4 linked regions of the Callithrix jacchus genome follow. The protein of the gene in region 1 purifies or fractionates together with the protein of each later gene. This does not show direct contact. Links are inferred from orthologs where the notes say so. Each region holds a gene or a part of one and is shown in the gene's direction. Other genes may lie near its edges.

Region 1 (6,865 bases):
TTCATATTGCTGCAAATGACAGGATTTCATTCTTTTTTATGGAATATTATGGAATAATATTCCATTGTAATATATATCACATTTTCTTTATCCATTTATCCATTGATTGGCACTTAAGTTGATTCTGTATTTTGGCTATTGTGAATAGTACCGCAGTAAATATGAGAGTGCACATGTCTTTTTGATATTAATTTCCTTTCATTTGGATGTATGCTCAATAGTAGACTTGCAGGATTAAATGGTAATCTATTTTTAGTTCTGTTTTCTTTTTTGTGTTCAAGATGAAGTCTTGCTGTGATGCCCAGGCTGGAGTACAGTGGCATAGTCATGGTTCACTGAAGCCTCAGCCACCCAAGCTCAAGTGATTCTCCCACTTCAGCATCCCAAATAGCTGGGACCACAGGCATGTGCCACCACGCCCAGCCAATTTTTTTACTTGTAGAGATGAGGTCTGAGTATGTTTCCCAGGCTCCTAGCCTCAAGCAGACCTCCTACCTTGTCCTCCCAAAGTGTTGGGATTACAGACGTGAGCCATCAAACGACCTATTTTTAGTTTTTTGGGAAACCTCCATACTTTTCTCTATAGTGGTTGTACATTTACATTCCAACCAGTAGTATATGAGGGTTTCCCTAGATATTATTTTAAAACTGTGTTTGAAGTTGCAGAAGTAGACTTTGAGAAGTGATGAATTTTTATAGGTTTATTCTATTATGCCTTCTATTTGACAAGGAACATGTTAGACAGATGTTTGTTCTAGCACAGTGCTACTCAAAGTGTGGCCTAGACTGGCAACCTGCAAACTCTCTGACCATCTTGAAGAGATGAGGAATTTGCAGCAGAACCAGTGCACTATCACTTTTAATGAGAAAGTCTCTTTATGGGCCGGGCATTGTGGCACATGCCTGTAATCTCAGTTCTTTGGGAGGCTGAGGTAGGCAAATCACTTAAGGTCAGGAGTTTTAGACCAGCCTGGCCAACATAGTGAAACTCCCTTCTCTACTAAAAACATAAAAATTAGCTGGGTGTGGTGGTGCACACCTGTAGTTCCAGCTATTTGGAAGGCTGAGGCATGAGAATTGCTTGAACTCTGAAGGTGGAGGTTGCAGTGAGCTGAGATGGCATCACTGCATTCCAGCCTGGGCATCAGAGCAAGACTCCATCTCAAAAAAAAAACAAAAAGTTAAAAAAAAAAGACTTCTTATGAAAAAAAGATGAACTGAACTAAACACTGTGATTAATTATACTATTGTTTTACATTCTGATTCAACTCCCTATTTTGTCGTAGGCCCACACTTTAAGCAGATTTGTCTTAGCATTCCTTTGAGAACAGAAGTAGGGTTTTGGAAGTTGAGAGAAGACAGAAGATGCTCAGGAAATTGTTTTCTGATACCTCTGTACATCACATCAAATGTTTGTCCGTCAAATCAAAATATGCTAAGTACCTCATCAAAATTTAAAACTTACATTTTGCAAAAGACTCTTAGGAGGATGAAAATGACAGGCACAGTTGCTCATAGCTATAATCCCACCACTTTGAGAGCAGGTGGATCACTTGAGCCCAGGAGTTCCAGACCAGCCTGGATATCTGGTGAAACCTCATCTGTACAAAAAATTTAAAAAATTGAGCTGGGCATGGTGGTGCACCTATAGTCCCAGCTAGTCAGGAGGCTGGGGTGGGACGATTGCTTGAGCCCAGAAGCTCAAGGTTGCAGTGAGCCGTGATCACGACACTGTGGGGGAAAAAAAGGATGAAAAGATGAATTACAGACTGGGGGAAAATAATTGTAAACCACATATCCAACAAAGAACTAGTGTCTAGAATATATAAATGACTTTTGGCCTGGTGCAGTGGCTCAGGCCTGTAATCCCAACACTTTGGGAGGCTGAGGCAGGAAGATTGTTTGAGGCCAGGAGTTTGAGTCTGTGGTGAACTATGATTGCACCACTGCACTGCAGCCTGGATAACAGCAAGACCCTGTCTCAAAAATAATAATAATAATAACAATAGGCGGGGTGTGGTGGCTAATGCCTGTAATCCCAACACTTTGGGAGAACGAAGTGGGTGGATCACCTAAGGTTGGGAGTTTGAGACCGGCCTGGCCAACATGGCAAAACCCTATCTTTTTTTCTCTTTTTTTGGGTGCCAAGTTCATTTCAGTAGCATAGAGCAAAACCCTGTCTCTACTAAAACTATAAAAATTAGCTGAGTATGGTGGCACACGCCTGTAATCCCAGCTACTCAGGAGGCTGAGGCAGGAGAAGTGCATGAACCTGTGAGATGGGGAATGCAGTGAGCCAAGATTGCACCACTGCACTCCAGCCAGGGTGACAGAGTGAGACTTTTTCAAAAAATAATAATAATAAAGACGTATCAAAACTCAATAGTAAGAAACCAAATAATCCAATTAGAAAATGGGCAGAAAAATTAACAGACATTTCCCTAAGAGGATGTATGGTTGGCAAGCACATGGAAAGATGTTTAGCTATTAGGGAACTTCACATTAATGACACAATGTGATACCACTATGTACCAAGCAGAATCACTGAAAAAATAACAACACTAAATGCTAGCAAGAATGCGAAGAAACTGGATCACTCATATGTTATAATGGGTATGTAAAATGGTGCAGCCATTCTGGAACATAGCTTGGCGATATCTTTAGCAGACTAAACATGCATCTGCCATAGAACTCAGCATTAGCACTCCTGGGCGTCTATTCCAGAGGAATAAAAACTTAGGTTCACACAAAGCCTGTACATTGTACATGAATATTCATAGTAGCTTTAATAATAATGAAACTGAAAATACCCCACATATCCTTTAATGGGTGAATAAACTGTGGTGCATTCCTGCTATGGAATATACTCAGCAATGAAAAGGAATGACCTATTGATAGACACAACATGGATGAATTTCCAGAGAATTATGCTGAATGAAAAAAAGCCTGTGTAATGTAACAAAACATTACATACTAGGTGTTTCCATTTATAGAAGACTTGAAATAAAGTAATTCTAGTTTTGCTACTGTACTGTAGTTACACAAGGCATTGACACTGTGGGAGGCTGGATGAAGAGTGCATGGAACTTCCCTGTACATTTCTTTGCAATCTCTTGTGAATCTGTAATTTTTTAAAATACAAAATAAAAAAAAAAAAAAATCCCTGTGTGTACTTGTATGTGAGATAGAAAACTTTGTTCTTGGGATTTATATAGCTGCGAAGAAACAGACATGGCCTCTGCCGCATGGACTGATGGTCTTGGTTCTTGTAGTAGGAAAACATGTTAGGCAATTAGTGACAAGAATGAAGAGAATTATGAAAGAGGAAGTATGGTGTTCCTGTACAAGAAAGAACATAGCAAGCTGACTTTGTCTCATCTTAAAGATCAGTCAAGGAACAATTTAAATGAAGGCTCAAAGGATGAGGGACTGATTATCAGCCATATGAAGAGGTGTAGGCAGAACTTTCTAGGCAGGGGGAGCTATAATCAAATAGGCAATTCAAAGCACCAGCACCATTAAATAAAATACAGCATTTGTGGAGAATAGTCAAAACTTGACAAGCAAGAATAATGGTGCTAACAGCCTGCTAATAGTATTATTCCATATCCAGGTTGATGCCGCCTTGCCTTTGGACATCCTACGCTATGAAGAGAAGACCTTGTCAGCCATCTTGAGAATATGTAGCAGGTATGACAGAGAGTGGGCATTTCTAGTATAACAAGTCAGAGAGACTGATGAGAATTAGAGCAAAAATTCTTTCCTCTGAGAATGAGAAGAATATTGTGAACTCTGAGCAGCTTTTGGGGATTTTAACTGGGATGAATATGAACATTCCATCCACCAGAAACTTGTACCCTAGAGAGAGCAAAACATGCTTTGGTTACAGCTCTAGTTTCCCATTGATGGTTATAGTTGCAAAGCCAGAAGTGAATATTTCAGAAACCTTAGTTGAGGTTCATTTTGTTTTCAGCCTATGATACGCTATGTATTTTCCTGGTCTTTTCTGCAGTGGTCTTGTCAAATTGTGGAGCTCTTTGGCCTTGTTAGGATCCTATAAAGGCAAAAAATGTGCTTTCCGGGTGATTCAGGTAAAGACTGTTCCCTCACATATTCCAAATGAGACTGATGATGGCTCAATCGCTTCTTAATATTCATAGCTCATTTTTGTGCTTGCATGAATGTAATATGGTTAACATGATCTAAGTAGGGGAACATAAAGGGCTTGTTTTCAAAAAATGTGAGACACAGCACTTCAGATTTTAAAGTCTGTGGGAGGTTGTTCTGGGATAAAAGTTGCTACTCTGTGGTTAAGTCTTATTTTTTATTTAACACTTAATGCTTTGGGTGTTATATATTGTATGCTCCTTTTAAGCTATGACTACTTGTTATTGAAGGCTTCCTCTTGGGACGCTCTTTAAAATGCTCCTGCATTCACTTTGTTTATCCTGTAAAACTGGACATGTTTCCACATTGCCCTGTGCTTCAGTGCAGTTTCTTCCAATGCCTTAACCTTTTTCTTTCTTTTGTAGGTTTCTCCATTTCTCCTGGCATTATCTGGTAATAGTAGGGAACTAGTATTGGATTGAAGGAATAGTCTTCTATTTTGGAAACATTCCTCCACTCTCAGATTTATTTTTTGGTGCCTGCATGTTTGAAGACTGAAGCAGGCTAAAAGCTCTTGGTGAAATTTGAGGGTGCTGAAGATGTTCCCACTAATTTCCAGCCATCACCTTTGGTGGGGTGGGCTTCGGAGGAGAGTCTGCCTGAACCTCCCGGTGCTGGCCCTGCAGCACTTTCAGCATATGCACATCAGAGTTGGAGACCGTGCTGAACTTAGGAGGGCCTTCACACAGACGGATGTGGCTACCTTCTCAGAGTTAACAGGGGATGCCAATCCTTTGCATCTAAATGAAGACTTTGCAAAACACACCAAGTTTGGAAATACAATTGTACATGGAGTTTTGATCAATGGACTTATCTCAGCTCTCCTGGGAACTAAAATGCCAGGGCCAGGCTGTGTATTTCTTTCCCAAGAAATTAGCTTTCCAGCCCCTTTATATATTGGAGAAGTTGTTTTAGCTTCTGCAGAAGTGAAAAAGCTAAAACGGTTCATTGCTATTATTGCAGTGTCGTGTTCAGTAGTAGAAAGTAAAAAGACTGTCATGGAAGGCTGGGTTAAAGTTATGGTTCCAGAAGCTCCTAAATCCTGAAATACGTGTTTAAAGATGCAACCTCAAACACCAATGCTGTTATTAAAGAGCCTTTGGGGAAATGGATTGCTGCTCTTCACCAAAGAATGGTTGGTAGGCCCAGAAGCCCATCCTAATTAGGGTAAGGGAGCAGATAGCTGTTCAAATGCCCACTTTCCAGTTTGGCCTTATGCAAGAGTGTATGTGAAATTCTCTGCCCTTTTTTTTTTTTTTAATTCAAGAAATAGGCTAGGCATGGTGACTCATAACTGTAATCCTAGCACTTTGGGAGGCTGAGGCAGATGGATCACTTAAGGTCAGCAGTCCAAGACCAGCCTGGCCAACATGGTGAGACCACATCCCAACAAAAAGAAAATGTAAAAATTAGTAGTGCTTGGTGGCTTGGGCCTGTAGTCCCAGCTACTGGGGAGGCTGAGGTGGGAGAATAGCTTGGGCCCAAGAGCTGGAGGTTACAATGAGAAGCTGAGATCACACCTCTGCACTGCAGCCTGGGTGACAGAGCAAGACCCTGTCTCAAAAAAAAAAAAAGTATTGGGAAGGTTATTTATGTAAACACTCTACTTTGAAGTCAGGCATGGTGGTGCATGGTTATAATCCCAGCACTTTGGGAGGCCATGGCAGGCGAATCACTTGAGGTCAGAAGCTCAAGACCAGCTTGGTCAACATGTGAAACCCCATTTCCACTAAAAATACAAAAATTAGCTGGGCATGGTGGCGGGCACCTATAATCCCAGCTACTTGGGAGGCTGAGGCAGGAAAATCGTTTGAACCTGGGAGGTTGCAGTGAGCTGAAATCATACCACTGCACTTCAGCCTGGGTGACAGAGCAAAACTCCATCTCAAAAAGATTCTACTTTTAGGAATTCAGACCTATATAGATTTGCATTTGGATAATAGAACCCTTCCTGTATCTGTGTAGAAGCAGCTTCTCACTGAATTTCAGCTGTGTATCACTTAATTACTGAAGACAAAAATAGAAGTTGGGTCATATTTGAACACCTACCTTTTATCAGTGAATATTCTTAGACCCTGCTTTTCAGTAGTTACTGAGTCTGTCATAATTTGTTATTTACACCAAGGTGGCATCTTGCTTTGCCTTCTGTGAGACTTGCATTTCAGGGCAGGGGCATATGTGCAACCTTGGTCTCAGTTATATAAGCTGCCTGATCTATAAAACACTGGTAACACCTGCCATGTGGGATAGTTGGGGGAGATAATAGATGGAGTTAAGCATAGGGCCCAGCCTGTCAGCAGCAGCTACTATTACTGTTATCCATTTCCCCTGCATTGGAGGTGAGAGGTTTTCCTGAGTTTGATGCTGACTGGCCCACAGTTAAAACCGTCTTTCAGGGTGTCAACCAACCTCTACTAGTGTTCTTAAGTGCAGTTTCTGTTTTAAAAAGTTAAGATTATTCCTTGAAAATGTGGATCTACCTCTCATTATATAACTAATACATGCTTATTTAAAAAAAGAAATATTAAGACCATGGATGCCAAATTCTTAAGACTGGGGGTGGGTTTTTGAAGGGGAAACGTGCCTAACATGTTAGTACTAAATGGCCATCCCAGCACAGCCAACACTTTTGTTTTCCATTTTTAAATAACATCGAGACATAATTCACATACCATAAAATTCACCTTTTTAAAGTGTA
Region 2 (6,865 bases), on another chromosome or scaffold:
GCGCCTCTCTGTTGTCTGCCACAAGAGGGCAGCCTTCCTTTACCAATCTGGGCTGTGTTCAGCTAGGCGGGTGAGGCAGGACTCATTGTTTGGCCCCTGTCCTCGCTCGCCTTCACGAGTGAGACCCCTTCGAGTACATCTGTTGCCCATGGCAACAGGCTGTTTGTCCCTCAGCTTTGTTAGACAGAAAAGAGGAACCGATATTAATGTATATCACTTTGTAGCTTTTAATAGCGCTAGACAGTCACCCACTCAGGTTTCATTGCCAGAGCAAGATGCTGCCTACACGTTTCAGAAGTTTCCGAAAGGAATTCATCACTGTCCTGTCCTGTGGGAGGACGTCTTCCTCCAGCCAACGCTCCATCCCTCCTTGGTGATGGGTTTGAGTGTGTGTGTCTTGGGGCTGTCTGTAGGCTTTTGTTTGGAGATCTACAGCCAAATAGCCTCCCACACCCCAGAAGATGCTTAAAGTATGTCATGCTGTCCCCAGTCCTGCTCAGGAGATCAGGTGGAGGAGGGGATGTTGCCTCCCAGGGTTTGCCTCCCGGGTGGAGCTCCGGTTGGGTTTGAGCTTGTGGTCCTTGTTTCTCTAACCTAAGGCTTCATGGAAGCAGATTCCCCACGAGCCATCAAGACCGGAGATAATGGCCCAGAGGAAAGCTGTTGAGGTCCTCGCCCCTGCACCCCTCCCCTTCTCCCTGCTACCTGCATGCTCACCTTCCAGACCAGCCTGCTGCCTCACACAAGAACCTGCGTGACAACCAGCAACCCCTGCCTTATTGAGGGCTTACTAAGTTCAAGCTCACGTAACAGAAAACCTCAAAATCACAGTAGCTTCAATGAGCCTCATGTTTATTTCTCTCCCATGAAAAGAAGTCCAGGTGGACACCACCCTGGCTAGTGTGGTTCTACCAGTGAGGAAACGGAGGTTAGAGCAGTGAAGCTTCTTGGTCTCCCTTATCAGCTCAATTGCTGATCCTAGGATTTGCATGTAGTTCCTAATGATCCCAGGTCACAGTGGTTGGCATCAAGCCAAGCTCTGTGCTGTTTGGACATCGTCATCCCAAGCTCATGTGGTCTAACTTTTTCCCTGTTTCTGACTTTGCCGCAGATACAGTCTTTTTCTCCCTCTCCATGAACTCTGGAAACAGTATATCAGGGACCTGTGCAACGGGCTTAAGCCAGACACGTAAGTTGCATTCCTGAAACTTTTCTCTTTGGGGTGGATCCCAAGACTCTGCTCATTGTAAATGCAGTTTCAGGAGCCAGCCTCGGCATTGCCTGGCTGCAGAAGGCTGAAGACCTAGTTGCATCTTTTGGAACTTTTTATCATGATGTAAACCAAGGGCTTCTGTTTACCTTGCAGTCAGCCACAGATGATTCAGGCCAAGCTGTTAAAGGCAGATCTTCACGGGGCTATTATTTCAGGTAATTTACCTAAGAGCGTGTAGCACGTGGCCATCCAGAGGTTCACACTGTCACTCTGTGGAGACCCAGGGCTTGTGTCCTGTTGGACACGCTCCTTACTGTGTGGATTCCCTGAAATGGCCCCCTGCAACCATCATCCCTGCATTCAGGGTGGGAGATGCTTCTCACTGGCTGTCTTAGCCAGTCTGGCCACTTGCTGGTCACACCCTAAGTGGTCTCTGTGTACCTTTTCCACACAGGGACCCCTGTTAGTACCGTAAAGGGCACAGTGGCTGTTGACACTCACCCATGGCCTGGAATCTTGAATATAGAATCCCTTTCATCCAGTGCTATGGTTTCAAATGTCAGCTACGCCTGACAGCCCCCAAGGTGACCTCTCCAGCGTAGGCCTGTCCCCTGAATTCCAGGCTCAGGTATCCAGCTTCCCACTTCACACAGCCACCTGGATGTTCAGGGGGCATCTCAGACTCTACAGAGCCAAAGCTCCTCCCGATTCCCCTCACAGCAACCTCTCCGGCTCTTTTCCATCTCAGTTTTAATTACTCAGTTATTTACCCTGGTTGTTCAGGCCAAAAACCTAAACAGTGTCTATGTTTCTTCTTCCCTGATCCCCTCCTCTGATCCTGTGGAACATCCTACTACCTAAACTCAGCCACTGTCATCTCCCTGGATTACCTCAGACACAGGTCCTCCCGGCCCCAGGCAGCAGAGTGCCGGTTATATAGAGATCAGAGTGCGTTTCTTCCCTGCTTCAGGTCTTCCTGCAGCGTCCCATCATATGGGAGTAAACCTGCCTCCAGATCCCTGGGGCAGCGGCTTCCCACCCCACCTTCCTCCTGCCCTGCCCCAGAGCTTTGCCTCTGCTCTTTCCCTCTGCCCAGGAGTTCTGTGTGTGCAAAGACCAGCTTCTCATTGTTCAGCCCTGCTCCAGTGCTGCTCCCCTGAGGGTCTACTTTGGCAAAACATGGCCCTCCGCACTCATTGCCCTGTCCCTACTCACTGCTGTCAGAAAGTAGAATGGTGTGGTTCACCGCTCGTCACCCTGCCTTGCTAGAACCTGGGCTCCATGAGAGCGGGACTGCCTCTTTCCGGCTGTGTCCCTGGCATCTCCCAAGGACAGAACAGGCACACTGCAGCTGCTCAGTGACTGTCTGTCGGCTATACCGAGTCTCAGGTCAATACAAGGGAGGGGCTGCTACTTGTGATGGTGGCTTGTCTCTCAGTGCTGGCTGCTGGGCAGCTCTGCAGCAGGACTCACGTTCATCAGAGCAGCCAGCCCATGGGCCTTGATGGTGCTCATTGTTCTGGAGTCAAAGGCATATGTGTCACCTTTGACTCCAGAATCCTGCCCGAGACCCCTGCAGCCACACACCTCATAGGAACAGTCCAGAGGCTGCAAAGCCCCAGCGGAAGCCTGGGTTCTCATAGGCTCAGGCAGTGCCCACAGTTGAGCCCCCATGCACTGGGTGCTCTCTTCCTTCATCTGCTAGCTAAGAGGGTGGGACCAGTACCCCCGACCCCTGAAGCGTGCTGCTTGTCTATGGTTCCCCCAGCACCACAGAGGCCTGAGCCTGGAACTGCCCTTTTCCTTTGCAGTGACAAAATCCAAATGCCCCTCTTACGTGGGTATTACAGGAATCCTTCTACAAGAAACAAAACACATTTTCAAAATTATCACCAAAGAAGATTGCCTGAAAGGTATGTAGGTGTTTCCCCAATCCTGTGGGCTGGGGCTTCCAGCTCCTGCGTTAGCCCTTTCCTCGAGGCTCCAAGATTACAGATACTTACTGACCCTGCATTAAAGCCTGCAGAGACCATCCCCTGCGCCTGTGGCTCCCCCAGGAGATGTGTGTCAGTGCAGCCAGCAGCCCCAGCCAGAAATGGCTAAGGGGAAGGAGGAACTGCTTGGCTGTGCCTCAGGGACCTGGGTCTGTTTGGGTCCCAGGAAGGGGCCTCCACCTGCCCTAAGGCCGCTGCTCCCACAGAGATGTAGCCACAGAGGCAGCAGGGTAGAAACAGGAACAGCGCCTGTCCCTGCAGTTCCAAGCTGTGTCCTTGGCGATGACTTTGTGTTCCATCGATGACATTGTGTTCCATCAGTGGCCAGCATTGCTCCAGCAGACACTTCGGGTCTTCCAGGATTCCTACACCCTGCCTTGCCCACAAATCCAGAGATATCAAACCACAGTTAGAGGGTTGTGTTCCTTTAATTTTTTTTTTTTTTTTTAAACAGTCTCTCTCTTTTACCCAGGCTGGAGTGCAGTGGTGCAATCTCAACTCACCGCAGCCTCCGCCTCCAGGATTCAAGGGATTCTCCTGCCTCAGCCTCCTGAGTAGCGGGGATTACAGGCATGCATCACCACAGCCAGCTAATTTTTGTATTTTTAGTAGAGACGGGTTCACCATGCTGGACAAGCTGGTCTCAAACTCCTGACCTTAAGTGATCCGCCTGTTTCAGCCTCCTAAAATGCTGAGATTACAGGCATGAGCCACTGCACCCGGCCTTGTTCCTTTACTTTTTGAGTTTGGTTTTTCTTGTTGCTCCCCTTATTTTCCTACCTATTCTTCTACCTCACATCGTAGACCTCAGAAAGTGTTGTAACAGTTTCCTCACAGAGCATAAGGCCAGGAGCCCATCTGAAAGTTATGTGGGGAAACCAGTTCTGGCAGGTGTTCTGGGTCTCTCTGGTTCTGGGAATTTGTTGTATAGCTTTTGACCCTGAAGATTAGGTGCTGAGTTATATTTAGCATGTGACTAAATTGACCTTACAGCAGAATAACCACATGTAACCCCAGTGCCGCTCCCCTCGTGGGTTTCCCGTTTCCTATTAGCTTATTTTTTTCATTCAATGTATTATGAATAATATTCTACCTAAAAGTAAAATATTAGTAAATAAATAAATGAATGAATAATAAAACTTTGCTGCCAGGGTTTTTTCCTCATCTTTTTTCTCCTGCTTATTTTGTTTTTATTTTTTTCAGTTATCCCCAAGTTAAACTCTGTGTTCACTGTGGAAATCGATGGCTTTATTTCCTACATTTATGGGAGCAAATTCCAGCTTCGGTCAAGTGAACGGTCTGCAAAGAAGTTCAAAGCCAAGGGAACGATTGACCTGTGAGCGCTTTGCCATCCAAGGCGGTTGTTGATGACAGCCGAAAACTGAAACTCCAGTGCCCACCTTTCAGTGAAGAGATGGCTAAGCCAGTTCCTGTCATGGACCACCTCCACCAGGGAAGCTCCGGGTTGAGGATGTTGAGCAATATGGGAGGCGTGCTGAGTGAAGAAGTCAGGGGACAGGAATTTCTCCTAGGGGATCTTAATTGTGTATGGCTCCCACAGAGAGGAACAGACTGATGGGAAACACAGCAGGGTTAACACTGGTTGACTTCATTTAAAGATGCTTTTTCCTGTTTTCTGAGTGCTCTATGATGAATCTGTTGTGTCTGTGATCATACATTATACATGTGGACATAAACAGGCATCAAATGAAGGAGCTATTGCTGCAGTCCAGCCAGGTTGAAACGGAAGCGGGGGTCCCCAAAGATCCATTGCATGGCAGGTGTCTACAGAGGCGCGCCTTTGGGTGGAACTCTTTGACCTACCTAAGGGTTACTTTGCTATTTCAGGAAGGTTGAAGAGGATTGAAGGGTGGGTTGCTAAGGAACTTAGGGCTTATTCACTTCAGGAATCACAGCTGGGGTGGCTGCCAGGAGCATAGCACCACGTGCGGCTATGCCTCAACAGCACAGCTAAAGCGGACCCCTCCTGAGCTGCCAGCGTGAGCTGTGGAGGACTGAAAGGCGGTCACCCAGCATTGCCTCCTGAGGTCAGACCTGCGAAAGCCAAGCCGGCAGCATTGATGTCCTTTGATATCTTAGTTCCATTTTGCTGCTGAAAGACTTGGCTTTTCAGTCTGAACCTGGCCCTCTGTGGCGATGTGTCCGTAAGGCCAGTGGGTCAGGCCCTTCCGGGCAGGGCCAGAGGAAATGCAGGCCCAGGGCTGCAGTGAGCGTGGGGCGGGGGACCAGCCTAGCAGAGGGGTCAGAAACATGGCTCCGAAGGACGACTGCCCCTGCCCTTTGAAGAATAAGTGTCCGCCGATCAACAGGGCAAGGCCAGGAGCCCTCATGGTGAAAGGCAGGCTACAGTCTGTTCTCTGCAGGAGAAGCGGCGGTGCTGAGGCTTTACATTTCTGGTACCTGCCACCGAGACCACACCAGAGAAAAACACCACAGTGGAGAAGGGAAGTGGGAACGCTCACTGCTGTGTTCCGGGAGAGCAGAAAGGCCTAGCTCTGTGCCCCTGCCCCTCCCCAACGCTCACAGTGCACCCAGAGTCTCACAGGGACCAACTCGGTGCCTCAGTCCTGCTTCCATCTGTGCACCAGTTCTGAGGTGGCTCGAGTGCTCTCCCCCAGGCAGCACGCAGTCACCGCTGCCAGTGATGCAAACACGCACAGGCCAGGGACATGGAACTCAAGCCCCTGCCACCTCGGACCCAGCCCAACGAACGCCTGGTGATGTGGCCATCCTCATTCTGCCACAGGAAGACAGACTTCAAGGGACTCCTTGCCCAAGGCCTCGCTGACTCAGGGTAGAACTGAGATTTGGACCCAAGAGTCAGGCTCCAGCACTGCTTTCAACTACAGGGTGGCTGCAGGATGAGATGGATGCAGTTCTAAAGCGCAGGATGTGCTGCCTTTATTACCTGCTTTCCCACGAGCAATCCCGGTCTTGAGTGGGAAGTGACATCTATTCCCCCAGCCATCTGAAAGTGCTGCGTCTGTAACAGCCTAGGTGCTGTAGCTTCCTAGCCATCCCGCTCTTACCCACCCCCCAGCAATGTAAAAGGCATCCACTGTTGTGTAAATACACAGTCGCTTTCCAGAAAAGTTGTTGGTCCCACTTGCCATGTGAAATCTGTTTTTCATTTGGCGCAGACTCAAGTTTCTGTGTGAGTGGCTGTTAAATTTGTAGACTTCCTCTTCCCCAAGGACATGTGGGGAGGGTGCTCGCCGGCCATGAAGTTGCTGCTATGCCTGCCTGTTTCTAGGATATGCTGTCGCCCCCATGGCATACCCAGGGGCCGTGTCATCTCCCAGGTAGAGGAGGGAAAGGGGAGGGCTCAGTTGGGCAGGACATGGTTCCTGATGAGGAACAGCTACAGAGGGCATGACCTGAGGCCCAGGGGCAGGGGCCAGGCTGCCATGTCTCCGCAGCCTGTGGCACAGCTTGTCATGGAGGGCAATGGGCTTTGTGGCCTGATCTCCCATATCCACTGTCCAAGGAGCAGGACCCCAGCAGAGCTGAAGCCTTGGCCATGTGGTCCCACAGGAGATAGAGCCACATTAGCCTCATGTAAGCCTCCATGCATCAGAAAAGGTGCCAAAGAGGAGAGAGAGAGTGCTTAGCAACTCGAGACAGGATTCAGACGCTG
Region 3 (7,654 bases), on another chromosome or scaffold:
CCATGGCAGTGAGAAGCCAATGGTAGGGTCTAAAAGGGGATGCAGGTGTATATCATGTTTTTAAGAGATCACTCTGGATGCCGAGTGGGATATGGACTGTGGGAGGGCAAGAGAGGCAGGAGGAAGAAGCCCTGGAGGCAGACTTGGGCAGCAGGCCAGCGAGTGATGAAGGTGATTGAAACTGACTATAGAAATGCAGACAGCAAGAAGAGGCTGCAATCAGGGTGCCCGCTGCAGGCCGAGCCACAGGACTTGCTGTGGGACTGCATGGCGGGTGAGAAGGGAAAAAGAGAGTCAGGGGTGAGTCCTTGTGCTGGAGTCATCTGGGTGCTCCACTCAGGGAAGAGGCTCCACACGTAGGGGTTATCAGCAGGCAGACAGGAGGACTTAGAGCTGAGAGACTCTGTGGGGTCACTCTGAGAAGAGTGCAGCTTGTATCTCTAATACATTTTTCAGCTGATATTTATATAGATAAAATTTATTTTGCATCTTCAAAATAGGCAACATTTTAAACTAAATGGTTGGCTGGAAAAGCTTCATGGTGCTTCCAAATACAAATGGTAGACCATCAGGATGTCAGTCACTGTGCAGAGCTCTGCTGGAAAAGCTTCATGGTGCTTCCAAATACAAATGGTAGACCATCAGGATGTCAGTCACTGTGCAGAGCTCTGCAATGCGGACAAAGGAGAGGTACATGCGTGATGTTTCAGTCTTGGGGCGCCGCTGCCGCACACAAAGCCACTGTCTGGTGACAGCCACATTAAATGTGAGGTGACCAAGAAGCAATGCTTTAAGCCTTTCACATCTTAACATGTTATTCGTAGCTGTTATTCATAAAACATCTAACTGCCATATTGTGATCTTGGAAATTGGTAAGGTTTTTCTGATTAACTTGCCATGCCTTATAATTCTGTATAAAATAATGAGAAACAGGTTCTTATTAGGTTTTCTTCTTGGAAAAAAATGTGACATTTCAGTCATAGATTACTTTTTTATTTGTTTGTTTGAGACAGAGTCTCACTCTGTCTCCCAGCCTGGAAGTACAGTGGCACATCTCGGCTCACTGCAATCTCTACCTCCCGGCGCACTGCAATCTCTGCCTCCCAGGTTCAAGCGACTCTTCTGCCTCAGCTTCCTGAGTAGCTGAGATTACAGGCGTGCACCACCATGTCTGGCTAATTTTTGTATTTTTAGTAGAGATGGGGTTTCTCCAGGTTGGTCAGGCTGGTCTTGAACTCCTGACCTCAGGTGATCCCCATGCCTTGGTCTCCCAAAGTGCTGAGACTACAGGCATGAGCCATGGGCACTTGGCCAGATTACTGTTTTTTGTTTTTGTTTTTTTGTGTTTGAGATGGAGTCTCACTCTTGTTGCCAGGTAGAGTGCAGCGGCACTATCTCGGCTCATTCCAACCGCTGCCTCCCGGGTTCAAGCAATTCTCCTGCCTCAGCCTCCTGAGCTGGGACTATAGGCGTACACCACCAAGCCCAGCTAATTTTCGTATTTTTAGTAGAGACAGGGTTTCACCATGTTGGCCAGGATGATCTCGATCTCTTGACCTCGTGATCCGCCTGCCTCAGCCTCCCAAAGTGCTGGGATCACAGACATGATCCACCGAGCCCGGCCAGATTACTGATGTTTTTAATGGCAGACGACTTTCCAGCCTTGTCTTTCTTTTATTTTTATTTTTTGAGATGGTGTCTCATTATATTGCCCAGGCTGGTCTTGAAATCCTGAGCTCAAGTGATTCTCCCATCTCAGTCTCCCCAAGTTCTGGGATTACAGGCATGAGCCACTGTGACCAGCTTAGTTTTAAATTCTTATTTACCTTGTAAACAACTTAATTCCATTTCTCCACCTCACACACAAAAACTGATGCCCCAGGAAGATGTATCATCAATATTCTGCTGTATTGTATCCTGCCCGTGCAGAAATGGGGCTGTGCCTTCTCTAGTTTAAGAAGCATGTAGTAACATACTTGATTTTGCCTTTAATCAGTAACGTATGGCATACTGGGAGCCGCAGTCTCTTGTCTGTGGCAGTAAAACTAAATGGAAAAATGACTTAGGAGAATTATCACCATAACCCCCAGAAGCAACACATTATTAAAAGTGGGTCTGAAGGGCTATTAAAAAGGAAATCAACACTAGTTTCAAAGAAGGCTAAATTGTGCTTTACCTTCCCATACAAACTTCCTTAAAGTTTTGGAAAGGATCAATGCAAATTTTAGTCCTGCTGGCCTGTGTTACGGATGGCCAAGAGGTCCCCAATGGGTAACAGAGTCCTGTGAACCAAACAGTGTAAGGAGTCAGAAAAGCAGCTGGGTGTGACCCCCCCCAAAGCAGCTTAGGCGGTTACTTAAGTGTGCAGCTACATTTCTTGACCATATAATAAAGGAACTGGGCCTTTCCATGTGATGTTTTCCTTTTATAACGGTGGCAGGAAGCGATCCCTCTGAGAGGCCTGACCGAGGTAAGCGCCAGCGCCAGGCCAGGGTCCCAGGGTCGCTTCAAGGCGGGGCCCATAGAAAGGGTTTAGCAGCTCAGAAGGATGGCGGGGACGGAGGAAAGGTGGCGTTGAAAAGGCAAGAGTCAGGTTCCCAGCGATGGATTTTTTCATTTGAGGCAGTGAATTTGCAGTTTCAGACATCCACCAGGGAGCTGCTGCATGGGTTTCTTTTTTTTTTTTTTTTTTTTTTGAGACGGAGTTTCGCTCTTGTTACCCAGGCTGGAGTGCAATGGCGCGATCTCGGCTCACCGCAACCTCCGCCTCCTGGGTTCAAGCAATTCTCCTGCCTCAGCCTCCTGAGTAGCTGGGATTACAGGCACGCGCCACCATGCCCAGCTAATTTTTTGCATTTTTAGTAGAGACGGGGTTTCACCAAATTGACCAGGATGGTCTCGATCTCTTGACCTCGTGATCCACCCGCCTCGGCCTCCCAAAGTGCTGGGATTACAGGCTTGAGCCACCGCGCCCGGCCTGCTGCGTGGGTTTCTAAGAAGTAGAAGAACTGTTTAGAAATTCGGCGCCGACAGCCCCATTCCACCGCTACCAGCGGCGCACAATAACAGGTAGGCGGCCGGAGGGAAAGGGCGGAGCTGGGCGGGGCGGGGCCGGGAAGGGGCGGGGCATGCCCCTACCCGCGGAGGCCGGGAGGACCAGGAACCTGGGAGAGCATGGCCACGCTGCGCCGGCTTCGGGAGGTTCCGCGGCACTTACTGGTTTGCGAGAAATCCAACTTCGGCAACCACAAGTCGCGCCACCGGCATATCATTCAGACGCACTATTATAACTACAGGGTGAGTCCGATTGTCCTCAGCTTTTCCGGCTGTGCTTGGTCCCGGCGTGCGAGAGAGATTTTGGGAGAGTGCTAGGCTTCGCGGGGCGGAGAGTGCGTGAAGGGGGCGGGGCCCTGCCAGGCATGCTGGGAGTTGTAGTTTCTTAACCTCTCCAGGCCAGTGACTTGAAGGGCTGCAGGACTACAACACCGAGGATGCGCAGGGCGTGGGGGCAGTACCCAGTCCTGTAGGGAGCTGTTGGCAGGAGTGTTCCGGCTGCTCACTTGTGTCTTCGCGCGAAACAGGGAGTGAGTCCAGGGAGGCATTGGAGGTTCCAGGCCGAGACTAGGTTGTTAGAGCGGTGTGACGACTGCGACGTGCAGCTGCGGGCAGGCACGTGCACCTCGCTTTCTCCCCATATCAGGGCGGGTCTCGCGCCTCCTCCCCACCACCGCCTCCCTCCCTGACTTCAATCCCTCTCCCACCTGTTTACCTGTAGATCTTTCCAGAGCATCCTGCCTAGGCCCGGCCCAGGAAGCGACTTGCTTTTCTAAATTGGTTGTGGAAACTAATTTGATACCCGAAAAACTTAAAGAAACCAACCTTACAATGGGGGATTAAACATTTTACACTTTAAATCGTTCGGCTTAATAACTCAGGCTTGACTGAGCAGTGTCTCAGAGATATTGAGAGATGACCTGATCTGTCAGAACAGGCTGGTGTTTGAGTCTTGGGACAGTGATGACATTTACAATGTGGCAACATTTGAAGCCTGTCCTGTTTTTAACACTTGTTTTGGGTGGCAATCTCATCACAGCTGTCAGGGATGTATACCTTAACTCTCCTGTTGCATTTTTCTGTCTCGAAAGTGGAAACACACAGGAGCACCATTGCTTGCACATAGAGTCTTAGTAATTGGATGTTCATAAATTCCTTATCTCCCCAACAGATAGTTCCTTTCATTCCAGGGTAGCACCAGGGTAAACAAATCAAGGGATATTCAATTATACTGTATTTCCTTGAAAGTAAAATAGTGCAAAGAACAGGACATAAAATATACAGCATTGCTAATTTGCAAAAGATAAAATGCAAGCAAGAGTTTTCCATTTAAAGTTTTCTGTTCAATCCCTTTCCTGTACTGTACATTTGAATGCAGAAATTAAAAACTTGAGTAGTCAGAATTCTCTTTGACTGAGATAGATAAGTTAGCGTAAGAGTTTTGTTGCCTGTATTTATATGTTCCAGTGAAACTGGTGGAGAAAGAAGAACTTTCATGATCTTATTTCATTCCTAAAAACCTGGGTGTTCATCTTCATAGAAGTAAGACATTGTTTGTATTACACATTCCGATAGGTTTCATTTCTCATTCCTGAATGTGGGATACTATCAGAGGAACTGAAAAACCTGGTCATGCAAACTGGACCCTATTACTTTGTGAAGAATTTACCTCTTCATGAATTAATTACACACGAATTCATCAGTACCTTTATAAAGAAAGGTAAGAAAAACCTGAAATGTCTATGAACAAGGCAAGATGAGGAAGTATAGGGAGACCACATCACAAAGCTAGGGCTGTTCAAGTTTTGAACAGGGCCTGTGGGATGGATAGTCTTTGTGGTCAACTGCACACATGCGCTCCCCTCCACCATTCTTATCCTGTTCTTTCTTATGCCCTCTTTAGTGGTGGTTTCTGATTGCAATTGCCCACAAGTGTTGGATGGGGATGTAACACGAGGGTATCCATCCCCTTAAAATGAAGATTAATGGGGAGAAAGACTTGCAATGTGTGTTTGATGCACTGCTGTTGATGTGGCAGCAAAGACACTATGCTGTCAGCAGTCCCACAGCAGCTGTCTCAGGGGGTGGGTCTCCAGATGCAGCCACAGCTCCTGCTCACAGAGCCAAGGTAGTGGCTGGGGTCCTGTGTCTTCTGCTTAGATTTTGTAGCCATAATCCCCCTCTGCTCACCCCATTTCTGCCCATAATCTGCTGGGTTGGACTGGTTTGTTTCAGTTGTTTCCTGGGAGCCGTTTTTTTGAAACTACTTTAGAGGATCTTTGGGGATTCCACCCATGCTACATAAGGTGACAACCTGTACAGTGGCCACAGGCTGACCTTGTGGTGGCCCCCACCTATGTCCTCTCCAGAGAAGATATGAAGAAGTCTAGTTACCAGTAGCTCCTCTCATTTTGACATTGCTGGGGCTACTTATGAGCTGGGCATCTTGTCTGGTCTCATCAGCGTTATTCCTTTCATCTATTTTGATACCACTTTGTGAATAACACGGACACTGGCTGTAGCGGGCACTGTTAAATATCTTACCGAATTTAAGCCTTGCAACAACTTTTGAAGCAGGCCTATGATCGTCACTTAACAGGTGAGGAAACTGAGGCTTGGAGAGGTTGAGTAGCTTTTGAATCTTAACCTGGAACTCTGCCTCTAAGATGTGTATGTTTATCTAGAATTCTACTTTGTATCCCTCTCCCCGCATCCCCAAGGGTCATGCTCCATTTTGAGTCAATTTTCTGCTTGATGATAGTAAACTTACACAAATAGGCCCTTGGTCGGGGAGTGGACCAGCAGGAGCTTGGTCTTTGTGTGCTTCAGCTTACCTTTAGCAGGTGTTGGGTTTATTGAGTGAGCTGGAGCAGCGGTAGAAACTGACCTTTAATTACCTGGAATACTCGTTATCTTGTGAAAACAATCCACTAACATCTTGCAGGTGTAATTTCTTCTTTTAAATTTTTCCTCTGGATTTTTTTACAGGTTCTTGCTGTGCACTAACATACAATACAAATATCGATGAAGATAATACTGTTGCCCTGCTACCAAATGGTAACACTTATTTTTTCATCTTTAATTATTAAAAAAATGCATACTGTGGAAAAAAAAATAGTTGGCCAGTCATGATGGTTCATTCCTGTAATACCTGCAGTTTAGGAGACCGAGGCAGGCTGATTACCTGAGGTCAGGAGTTCGAGACCAGCCTGGCCAACATGATGAAACCCCATCTCTACTAAAAAGACAAAAAGTTAGCTGGGCGTGGTGGTAATCCTGTAATCCCAGCTACTAGGGAGGCTGAGGCAGGAGAATCGCTTGAACCTGGGAAGCAGAGGTTGCAGTGAGCCAAAATTGCACCATTGCACTCCAGCCTGGACAACAAGAACAAAATTCCGTCTCTCTCACTCACACACACACACACACACACAAATAGTCAAATCACACAGATCTATAGAGAATAAAGCAAAGGTCTGTGATTTTATTTTCTTCCCTCCAAATTCACTCCCCTTCTTAGAAGGACCCTTTGTTAACAGTTTGGTGTTGATTCTTCCAGACACTTTGAGTTTATAAACACACATACAAGTTTTTTTCCTTTTGCAATGGAGTCTTGCTCTGTCACCAGGCTGGAGTGCAGTGGTGCGATCTTGGCTCACTGCAGCCTCCACCCCCCGGGTTCAAGCAATTCTCCTGCTTCAGCCTCCTGAGTAGCTGGGATCACAGGAGCTACTAATGTACCACCACGCTCAGCTAATTTTTCGTATAGAGAGGGTTTCACCATGTTGGCCAGGATGGTCTCGATCTCTTGACCTCATGATCTACCCACCTTGGCCTCCCAAGGTGCTGAGATTACAGACCTGTGCCACCACACCCAGCCAAGGTCTTTTTTTTAACCTAAATTGTATCATGCTACATTGTGTCTTAATGTGCTCCCCCCCCACACAAGCTTCATATGATACACATCATTCCCTATTAGTCGATATAGTTCCAACTTCCTGTTTTTAATGGCTTAAGATATTCAAGCCGGGCACGGTGGCTCACACCTGTAATCCCAGCACTTTGGGAGGCTGAAGTGGGTGGATCATTTGAGGTCAGGAGTTCGAGACCAGCCTGGCCAACATGGTGAAACTCTGCCTCTACTAAAAGTACAAAAATTAGCCAGATGTGGTGACAGGTGCCTGTAGTCTCAGCTCCTCGGGAGGCTGAGGGAGGAGAAAAGCTTGAACCCAGGAGGTGGAGGTTGCAGTGAGCTGAGATCATGCTATATGCATTCACTCTGTCACATGGGTGACAGAGTGAGACTGTCTAAAAAAAAAAAAAAAGATATTTCGAAGAATGAGTATACCATGACTTCTTTATTTCATCTTCAGTAGAAATTCGGATTATTTCTGATTTCACTATTATAAATAATATCCTTGGATGTATAATGTGTAAATAATATCTGCGTTACAAGACATGTATGTATATAAACAGTGTTCTTGTGATGTAAGTAAGATCCTTGCATGCAGTTTGTTACATTGCTATCTAACTGTTCAATTTGCCTTGGTTTCTTTTAGTCAGACAACATAAGTCGTATCTTTGTTATATCTCATGGGAGTTA
Region 4 (7,577 bases), on another chromosome or scaffold:
TTGGACAGATGAGGAAACAGATCTGAGACATGAATTAACCCTCCTGACACACGTGGCTGGGCCGGTAAGTGACGGAGTGGGGAATCAAACCTCCATCTGTTACCTCTCCATCTTATTACACTAAGTGGACGAGTGAAACCCTGCACAGGAGGGCACCAGCTGTGTCGACAGGAACAAGGTCTCTGGAGTCAGCTGGCTTTGGGGTTCGAATTCTGATCCTGCTTCTTACTGGATACGAGGCTTTGGTTTGAGCCGCAACTGCATTTATAAAATGAGCGAGGCACTGCAGTTGAGATGAAGGCTAGGGAAGTGTTAGGGGTAAAGCGCTCCGAGGGGTTGGGGATGGCCTGCTCTCTACGCGCACTGCGGGCCTCTGGCACCCCCTGTTGGCCAAAGGAGGACGCCGCAAACACTGTTTCTGGAGAAAGGTTGCTCTTGGGTGGGGAGTGCTGTCATTGTCACTGGTCCCTCGGCAGATCCACGGGACCCCCTCCCCCTATTCTTCCCTTCCCTACATTCCCCAACAATCCTCCTTTAATGTGGCCAAGAAGAGTGGGAGATGGGAAAATTCGGAACTCATTCGAGATCTTGCAAAAATCAATTGTGAAAGCTGCCTCCATTACGGACCTCACAGGACCAGCAAGGCCACGACAGTTCTACAAATAATCACGGATGGGCATAAACAAAGACTAAGCTACAAAGCCATACATCAAAGTTTTGGGTATAACAAGGAAACCTGGAAGTAATGTGAACCTCCACCAAGGGGATACTGACCAACTGAACAGTGGTATGTCCAAGCAATGCAATACTGCACAGCTGAAAAAACAGTATTGCCGCTGAACAGTTGACACGAAAATATACCCAAACAACAGGAATCAATCTTACAATAATATTTAGCAAAAGAAGCCAGACACAAAAGAAAACATGCTGGAGGATATTTATATAAAGTGTAAGAACAGGCAAAACTAATCTACCAGGGTAGAAGTGGCCAATAGTGGCTAACAGCAGTAAGGGATTTGACTGGAAGAGGGCTCGGGGAGCCTTCAGAGATACTGGAAATGCTCTTTATTTTAATCGTGGAGGTGGTTACGCAAGTCTATCCATATGTAAAAATTCATTGAGATGTACACTTAAGAATATGAACTTTAGGCCAGGCTTGGTGGCTCACACCTGTAATCCCAGCACTTTGGGAGGTGGAGGCAGGCGGATCATGAGGTCAGGAGTTCGAGACCAGCCTGGCCAACATGGTGAAACTCCGTCTCCACTAAAAATACAAAATATTAGCCAGGCATGGTGACACACACCTGTAATCCCAGCTATTCAGGAGGCTGAGACTGGAGAATCGCTTGAACTCAGGAGATGGAGGTTGCAGTGAGCTGAGATCTCGCCATTGGACTCCCACCTGGGTGACAGAGCAGGACTCCTTCTCAAGAGAGAGAGAGAGAAAAAAAAGAATATATACTTTATGTAATACCCCAATAAGACATTAAAAAAAAACTTGAAAATAAAATAAAAGAAAAAACATAATTTAACAGAGGGCATAGTTCTCAAACTATTTTCTCTGTCTCACGACCCCTTTACACGCGTTACTGAGGATCCCAAAGAGCTTTTATTTTTGTGGGTCGTATTTACTAAAGCTGAGAAATGTTTAGAAAACAATACACAATTCCATTAGCTGTTAGAGCAATGATGTCATCACGTCAAGCAGCCTCTGGAAAACTTGACTGTTCACTCTGAGAGAGTGAAAAAGGCAAGTAACATCTTAGTATTATTATGAAAGTAATTCTGACTTCGGGGACTCCTAAACTGAGTAAGTTTAGGAAATCTCAGTGGTCCCCAGTCTACACTTTAAGAACCACTGGCCCAGGGAGAAAATGATAGAAGAAAACACGTGACACGACAACAGTTATTCTCTCTCAGTGCTGGGATTATAATTTATTTGCTTCTTGGTGCTTTTCTGTTAAAAAAAAAAAAAGAAAGAAAGAAAGAAAAAAGAAGTGGAAAATATAATGACCACGTATTGTTTCTGTAAACAAAAAACGAGGCAGCACACTCGCCTCCCTAAGATTGTTGAAAGGCGCAAACAGCAATAGCATATTTAGCTGTATGGAAGAATTAAACTGAGTTCTAACCTGAAAATAAGGGTCCGATTTCCCGTTTGTCAATCCCTGGGCTGTTGAGGTGCAGGGTCTTGCCCTCAAAAACTCCACCGTTCACCTTGGGGAGAAAATATACCCGCATACATAACTATGCTGCAAGGTTTCCAGGGCCCCAAGAAAAGCGGCTGCATCCTATATTTACAATACAATACACAGCACTGTAAACACCGGAGTGCAGCAGAACCAACCATCACAGTTGCAACACGATTAATACCCGGATCCGGTTCAGCCCTCAAATTAGTCCGGGTCCTCCGCAGGACGCATGCGCGCTTAGAGATGGGGCGGGCCTTGAGGGAGACTGACACAGAGCTCGGCTTCTCAACTTTCTAGCTCCGCCCTCATGTCCTGCCTCCTTCTCTGAATGGCTGAAAGGCTGAGGAAGCAAGCTTCCCATTGGCAGCGGGCGGAACCCACATCCGTTTTGCACATCGAGCCGGAGGGCGCGGAGGCAGCCATGGTGCGGTTCAAGCACAGGTAAGCAGTTCCTTCCAGACTCATCCAGTGTCTTGCCGGGACCTCGCGGCCCCGCTAGCGCCCATCTTCCTCTCGCCGGCCGCAGGTATCTGCTCTGCGAATTGGTGTCGGACGACCCCCGCTGCCGCCTGAGCCTCGATGACCGAGTTCTGAGCAGTCTCGTACGGGACACGATCGCCCGGGTGCACGGGACTTTCGGCGCAGCCGCCTGCTCCATCGGCTTCGCGGGTGCGAGGGCGCTGGGGGAACCCGGGAGGATGGCGGGACGTGGAAGGGGCAGGCGCCGGAGGAAGAAAGAAGGGGCACGAGCCACTGCTGGAGTGGCCCAGCCCCCGGGCAACTGCTTTTTGTAAGGTATCTCTTTAAGCGCCTGGCACTCAGAGCTAGACTTGATCCAGACAAGTCCGAAATTAGCAGAGAGCTAACAGGAGGGGTCCGAAGGCAGTAGACTTCGATCTAAATGCCTCTTTTTACCTGTTTGACATCTGTAATTCGTTGTGACTTAATTTGATAGGATAGAGAATTAAATGAGGGAAGCAGTGAATCGTTCCTAGTAAGAGCTGTGTGACTGATTACATTAAAAATCACATGGGGAAAAAAATTGTCAAAACCCTGGGAAAGCCCTTTAATAGTTGGCAGAGTGCAGAACACATGATTGTTTATATATGTAAATATAGGATGAGCTGCGACAAAGAGGGTCCCTTCCACACCACTTATATTAGTTCCCTCTTTTACCTTGAAGATAGGCTTAACTCTCCTAAATCAGGTTAGACTAAGCTGACTGCTACAAGAATTAGAGCCCAATTGCAGCAAAACAGCTTGTTTTTCAGGCAAGAGTTTTGTAGGTTTTTTTCCTAAATTAAAATGGATCGCCTCCTACCTGCTCCTATTTATTGAATTAACTAGTTAGTGAATTAGAAAGCATTTTAAATTCTAAATTCATTCACCAGTTCTGAGTGGTATGCAACACAGTGGGTGTTTTGGCTTTTCTCCTGTTTTTTACTGCTGATATAGCCTACGTGCCACTTGCCTGCAACATACATTGAGCACATAGTAGGCTCTGTTACTCCAAGGTTTTTAATACGCTCCTGCAACTCCAAAGTTTTCCTTTTTTTTTTTTTTTTGGATTCAGTCTCGTTTCACCCAGGCTGGAGTGCAGCGGTGAGATCACAGCTCAGCGCTGCCTCCACCTCCCCAGTTCAAGCAATTCTCGTACCTCAGCCTCCCAAGCAGGGAATTACAGGCGTGCACCCCACCATGTCTGGCTAATTTTTGTATTTAATAGAGACAGGGCTTCATCATGTTGGCCTGGCTGGTCCCGAACTCCTGACTTTAAGTGATCCTCCTTCCTTAGCCTCCCAAAGTGCTGGGATTATAGGCATGACATGAGCCACCATACCTGGCAAAAGTTTTCCAAAACGATTTTTTTTTTTGTTCTAGTTCGATACCTCAATGCCTATACTGGAATAGTGCTACTTCGATGCAGAAAAGAATTCTATCAGCTTGTGTGGTCAGCTCTTCCCTTCATCACGTACTTGGAAAACAAAGGACATCGTTACCCATGCTTTTTCAACACGTTACATGTGGGAGGTAGGAGTGGAATGTTACCACATGGCTACTGATTTTCAATAGGTGACACGTTCAGAGTTGAGTCTAGACTGTTGGGTGGGTCTTCTTGCTGTCCCGCTAACAAGACACTCTTCCCCTACCTCGTTATAAAGTCGAGACCTTTCACAAGCTGCTGACCACAATAACTCATGCCAGGTACAATAAGAACATGTCAGAAGTTCCTCATTCAGTACAACAGAAGACAGCTGTTGATCTTGTTGCAGAACTGCACTAATGAAGGTAAGCAACACTAGTCCAGGGCCCACTGAGCAGTGACAGACCTTGAGCCAAAAAAAATCACTCCCAAAGTCATCTTTCATCTGTTATCTGCCTTCTCCAGGAGAGCGGGAAGCTATCCAGAAGTCTGTGACAAGAAGCTGCTTACTAGAGGAGGAGGAAGAGTCAAGTGAGGAGGCTGCCGAAGCAATGGAGTGAACCTCTGCTCACCATACAGCAGGCTACACTGTGCTCAAGCTTCAAGCCCACTTGTTGAACAGAACATTCTGGGTAGCAACAGCATCTTCTACATTTTCCTAACTGGATAACTGCAACCAGAGGACACGTTACCCACTTGAAATGGAGTACGCAGTTAAACTGAAGTTGGCTTTACCTAGCATTCCCTGGTTAAGTGCTGTAGGTTGTGAACTCTGTATAGACATCTTTGTATCTAATTGCTTGGCTAAGAGTAGGTTTAATAAATGTATCTGGTTTCCTTGGTAACTAGCATACTTATGTTACAAAAAGAGCTTATGGAGTCCATGCTTGGCCAAGTCTCCATTCCCTCTCTATCCCTAGCCTTGGTGGGAAGACTGACTCCCTATGTGGTACTAGTTAAATTTTTTTTTTTTTTTAAACAGTCTTGCTCTATCGCCCAGGATGTAGTGCAGTGGTGCAATCTTGGCTCACTGCAACCTCCGCCTCCTGGGTTCAAGCAGTTCTCCCACCTCAGCCTCCCAAGTAGCTGGGATTACAGACATGTACCACCACACCTGCCTAATTTTTGTATTTTTAGTAGACATGGGGTTTTGCCATATTGGGCAGCTGCTGTTGGAACGCCTGTCCTCAAGTGATCGGCCTGCCTTGGCCTCCCAAAGTGCTGGGATTGACAGTGTGAGCTACTGCACCTGGCCTAGATTTTTAATACTTAGCCTTCTATTTGAGGCTTTGTACCCCCAGCCCCCAAGATGAGCCCTAAGCAAGGCAAGTCATTTGAAATAGAAATTTTAGTTGAGACACAGCAACTAAACTGGCAGAGATCTATAGCCAGTCTCAGCCCAGAACCACAGGCTCTTAGGTACCAGATTCCTTACCAGTACTTAAAATATGCAACTTTTGCAGTTGGGGTGGGAGAGCTGGCCTCACCTGACATCATTATTGCATGGCCATATACTTAAAGAACTTAAGGTAGTTTTTGTAATTCCACTTTTCTTTATTGCCTTACACCGAAGACAAGTGAGACTGCCACACTCACTAGGAAGCAGGAACGGTGAGAGATTGTGATCCAGGTTTGGTCTGCTACCTACGAACATTTCTAGGATCTGTTTTCTCCATAATACAATGGATTACACTGAAAGTACTTATACACATTTAACAGAAATACTGGTGACTGGCTTCAACATGCCTCCCTCTTTTTTTTTGTTTTTTGAGCCAGTCTCACTGTTGCCAGGCTGGAGTGCAGTGGCACAATCTCTGCTTACTGCAACCTCCAACTCCCTGATTCAAGCTGTTCTTCTGCCTCAGCCTCCTGAGTAGCTGGGATTACAGGCACCTGCCACCATGCCCAGCTAATTTTTGTATTTTTTTGTAGAGATCGGGTTTCACCACGTTGGCCAGGATGGTCTCAATCTCCTGACCTCGTGATCCGTCCACCTCAGCCTCCCAAAATGCTGGGATTACAGATGTGAGTTACCACGCCCAGCCACCCGCCTCATCTTGAGGCCAGAACACCCTGATCCACCCAGGAAATTTACTGAAATGATTTCTTTCAAAATAGCAGATTAAAGCTAAGCCCAGCTCTAGAACCATTTAAACCTGACACCAGAAGAGACAGCCCACGATATCCTGGTAGCTATCACATTAACCTATTCAAGAAATAACTCATCTAGTTTACCTGTGATTAACTTAACAAAAAGCTCACATTGCTTGTGCAGGTGATTTATTGCAACCATTTGCCTTCGCAGTCTAATACACCTAGAGGTCACTTTATTAAGCAGCAAGAGAGTTCACATCAAAATTAGCTCAAATCAAGGCATAAGAAAACTGCTCTAGATCAGAGGGAGACAGCAATGCTACGGCTTGAGACGGCCCTGCTCTTTTCCAGCTGTACAGACTCCTGTTCCTAGGACTCAAGCCACTGTCACTGAAAACAAGCTCCATCTTAGGGGTAGCAGGTCTCAGGGCTTCCTTCATGAGTTACAGCTTTCCTTGCCAATGCAAGCCATGCTCAAGAGGCGGCAAAACCCTCCTTTCACACATGCAAGTGCCAAGGACACCTACCCCATTAAGCTGGCACCACAACCTGGCCATGTGTCAGAAGAAAAATAAACTGCAATTCAAACTGGGTGTCCTAAATCCATTTTATTCCCACCCCTCTGCTTTAACAAGGAGAACTAAATAGTAAGGATCCAACTGTTTTTAAAAGACAGAGAGATGCTGAGCCCAGGAAGCCCTGACACGATGCTACGGCAGAGCAGTGCTGTGCCATTCTGGGCTGGACAGCCTAATGCAGGTCAAAGGGACTCAATCTTATTTTGGGTTGAAAAAAATTAATTACACATGGTTCAAAAAGACTACACTCACAACAAACTAAAAACCTTGGCAGGAAGAGATCTCTTGTGAGTGTCAATACTTTATTTTGGTGTAAAGACAGGAAGCTGGAAAATACACTGTATTTAAAATTTCTTGGTTCCCCCTCACATTGTGGAAACCCCCTCCCCTCCAGAGCTAATCTGTTCAAACTCAAATACTTAAAAATTACAGCAGCCAAACAAAAGCATGGGGTAAAAAAAAAAAAAAAAAAAAAGCAACAGATGGAGAAGGTAGCCTGGGCCAGTAGTGTCACTTTGTGTGGACAATTGAGGTGCTGAACAGGAGCTTCTGTTTCTGTTTTTTTCTTTTCTTTCCTCCTTTCTCTTCTAAAGGGAGACACAGAAAGAGAGCTTGCTTAACTAAAAATGCCATCCCTTGTCCCCTGGTCAATTTTCATTACTGAGAGAGTGGAGGCTCTGGAATTAGACTGCCTAGACTCCAATACCAGTCTTGGTATACACTAAGTGGGTGTCTTTGAGCAAGTCACTTTACCACCCTGGACCTCAGTTTCCCCATCTGTAATGTGAG

The links.
Region 2: the proteins of RPP14 (region 1) and POP4 purify together in Homo sapiens (affinity purification with mass spectrometry; 3 studies listed by BioGRID and IntAct, counting the BioPlex papers as one, with this or other methods). This does not show direct contact. The link is inferred for Callithrix jacchus from reciprocal best matches to the Homo sapiens genes RPP14 and POP4.
Region 3: the proteins of RPP14 (region 1) and RPP40 purify together in Homo sapiens (co-immunoprecipitation; 3 studies listed by BioGRID and IntAct, with this or other methods). This does not show direct contact. The link is inferred for Callithrix jacchus from reciprocal best matches to the Homo sapiens genes RPP14 and RPP40.
Region 4: the proteins of RPP14 (region 1) and POP5 purify together in Homo sapiens (co-immunoprecipitation; 3 studies listed by BioGRID and IntAct, with this or other methods). This does not show direct contact. The link is inferred for Callithrix jacchus from reciprocal best matches to the Homo sapiens genes RPP14 and POP5.

The regions. Positions count from the first base shown.
Region 1 is NC_133516.1:40,106,276-40,113,140, forward strand, and holds part of RPP14 (ribonuclease P protein subunit p14), read left to right. Parts: intron 1-3,613; coding exon 3,614-3,690; intron 3,691-4,012; coding exon 4,013-4,091; intron 4,092-4,530; exon of another isoform or gene 4,531-4,532; coding exon 4,533-4,589; 3' UTR 4,590-4,706; coding exon of another isoform or gene 4,707-5,213; 3' UTR 5,214-6,865. Other genes in the region: HTD2 (hydroxyacyl-thioester dehydratase type 2, mitochondrial), read left to right, coding at 4,707-5,213. UniProt on the Homo sapiens protein: Component of ribonuclease P, a ribonucleoprotein complex that generates mature tRNA molecules by cleaving their 5'-ends.
Region 2 is NC_133523.1:26,834,262-26,841,126, forward strand, and holds the end of POP4 (ribonuclease P protein subunit p29), read left to right. Parts: intron 1-1,111; coding exon 1,112-1,189; intron 1,190-1,366; coding exon 1,367-1,428; intron 1,429-3,024; coding exon 3,025-3,126; intron 3,127-4,410; coding exon 4,411-4,547; 3' UTR 4,548-4,840; downstream 4,841-6,865. UniProt on the Homo sapiens protein: Component of ribonuclease P, a ribonucleoprotein complex that generates mature tRNA molecules by cleaving their 5'-ends.
Region 3 is NC_133505.1:25,473,405-25,481,058, forward strand, and holds the start of RPP40 (ribonuclease P protein subunit p40), read left to right. Parts: upstream 1-3,140; 5' UTR 3,141-3,174; coding exon 3,175-3,297; intron 3,298-3,455; exon of another isoform or gene 3,456-3,669; intron 3,670-4,629; coding exon 4,630-4,774; intron 4,775-6,042; coding exon 6,043-6,111; intron 6,112-7,654. UniProt on the Homo sapiens protein: Component of ribonuclease P, a ribonucleoprotein complex that generates mature tRNA molecules by cleaving their 5'-ends. Also a component of the MRP ribonuclease complex, which cleaves pre-rRNA sequences.
Region 4 is NC_133510.1:123,709,410-123,716,986, reverse strand, and holds POP5 (ribonuclease P/MRP protein subunit POP5), read left to right. Parts: upstream 1-2,577; 5' UTR 2,578-2,613; coding exon 2,614-2,633; intron 2,634-2,718; coding exon 2,719-2,861; intron 2,862-4,073; coding exon 4,074-4,223; intron 4,224-4,354; coding exon of another isoform or gene 4,355-4,397; coding exon 4,398-4,481; intron 4,482-4,581; coding exon 4,582-4,676; 3' UTR 4,677-4,958; downstream 4,959-7,577. Other genes in the region: E3 ubiquitin-protein ligase RNF10, read right to left, coding at 7,299-7,375. UniProt on the Homo sapiens protein: Component of ribonuclease P, a protein complex that generates mature tRNA molecules by cleaving their 5'-ends. Also a component of the MRP ribonuclease complex, which cleaves pre-rRNA sequences.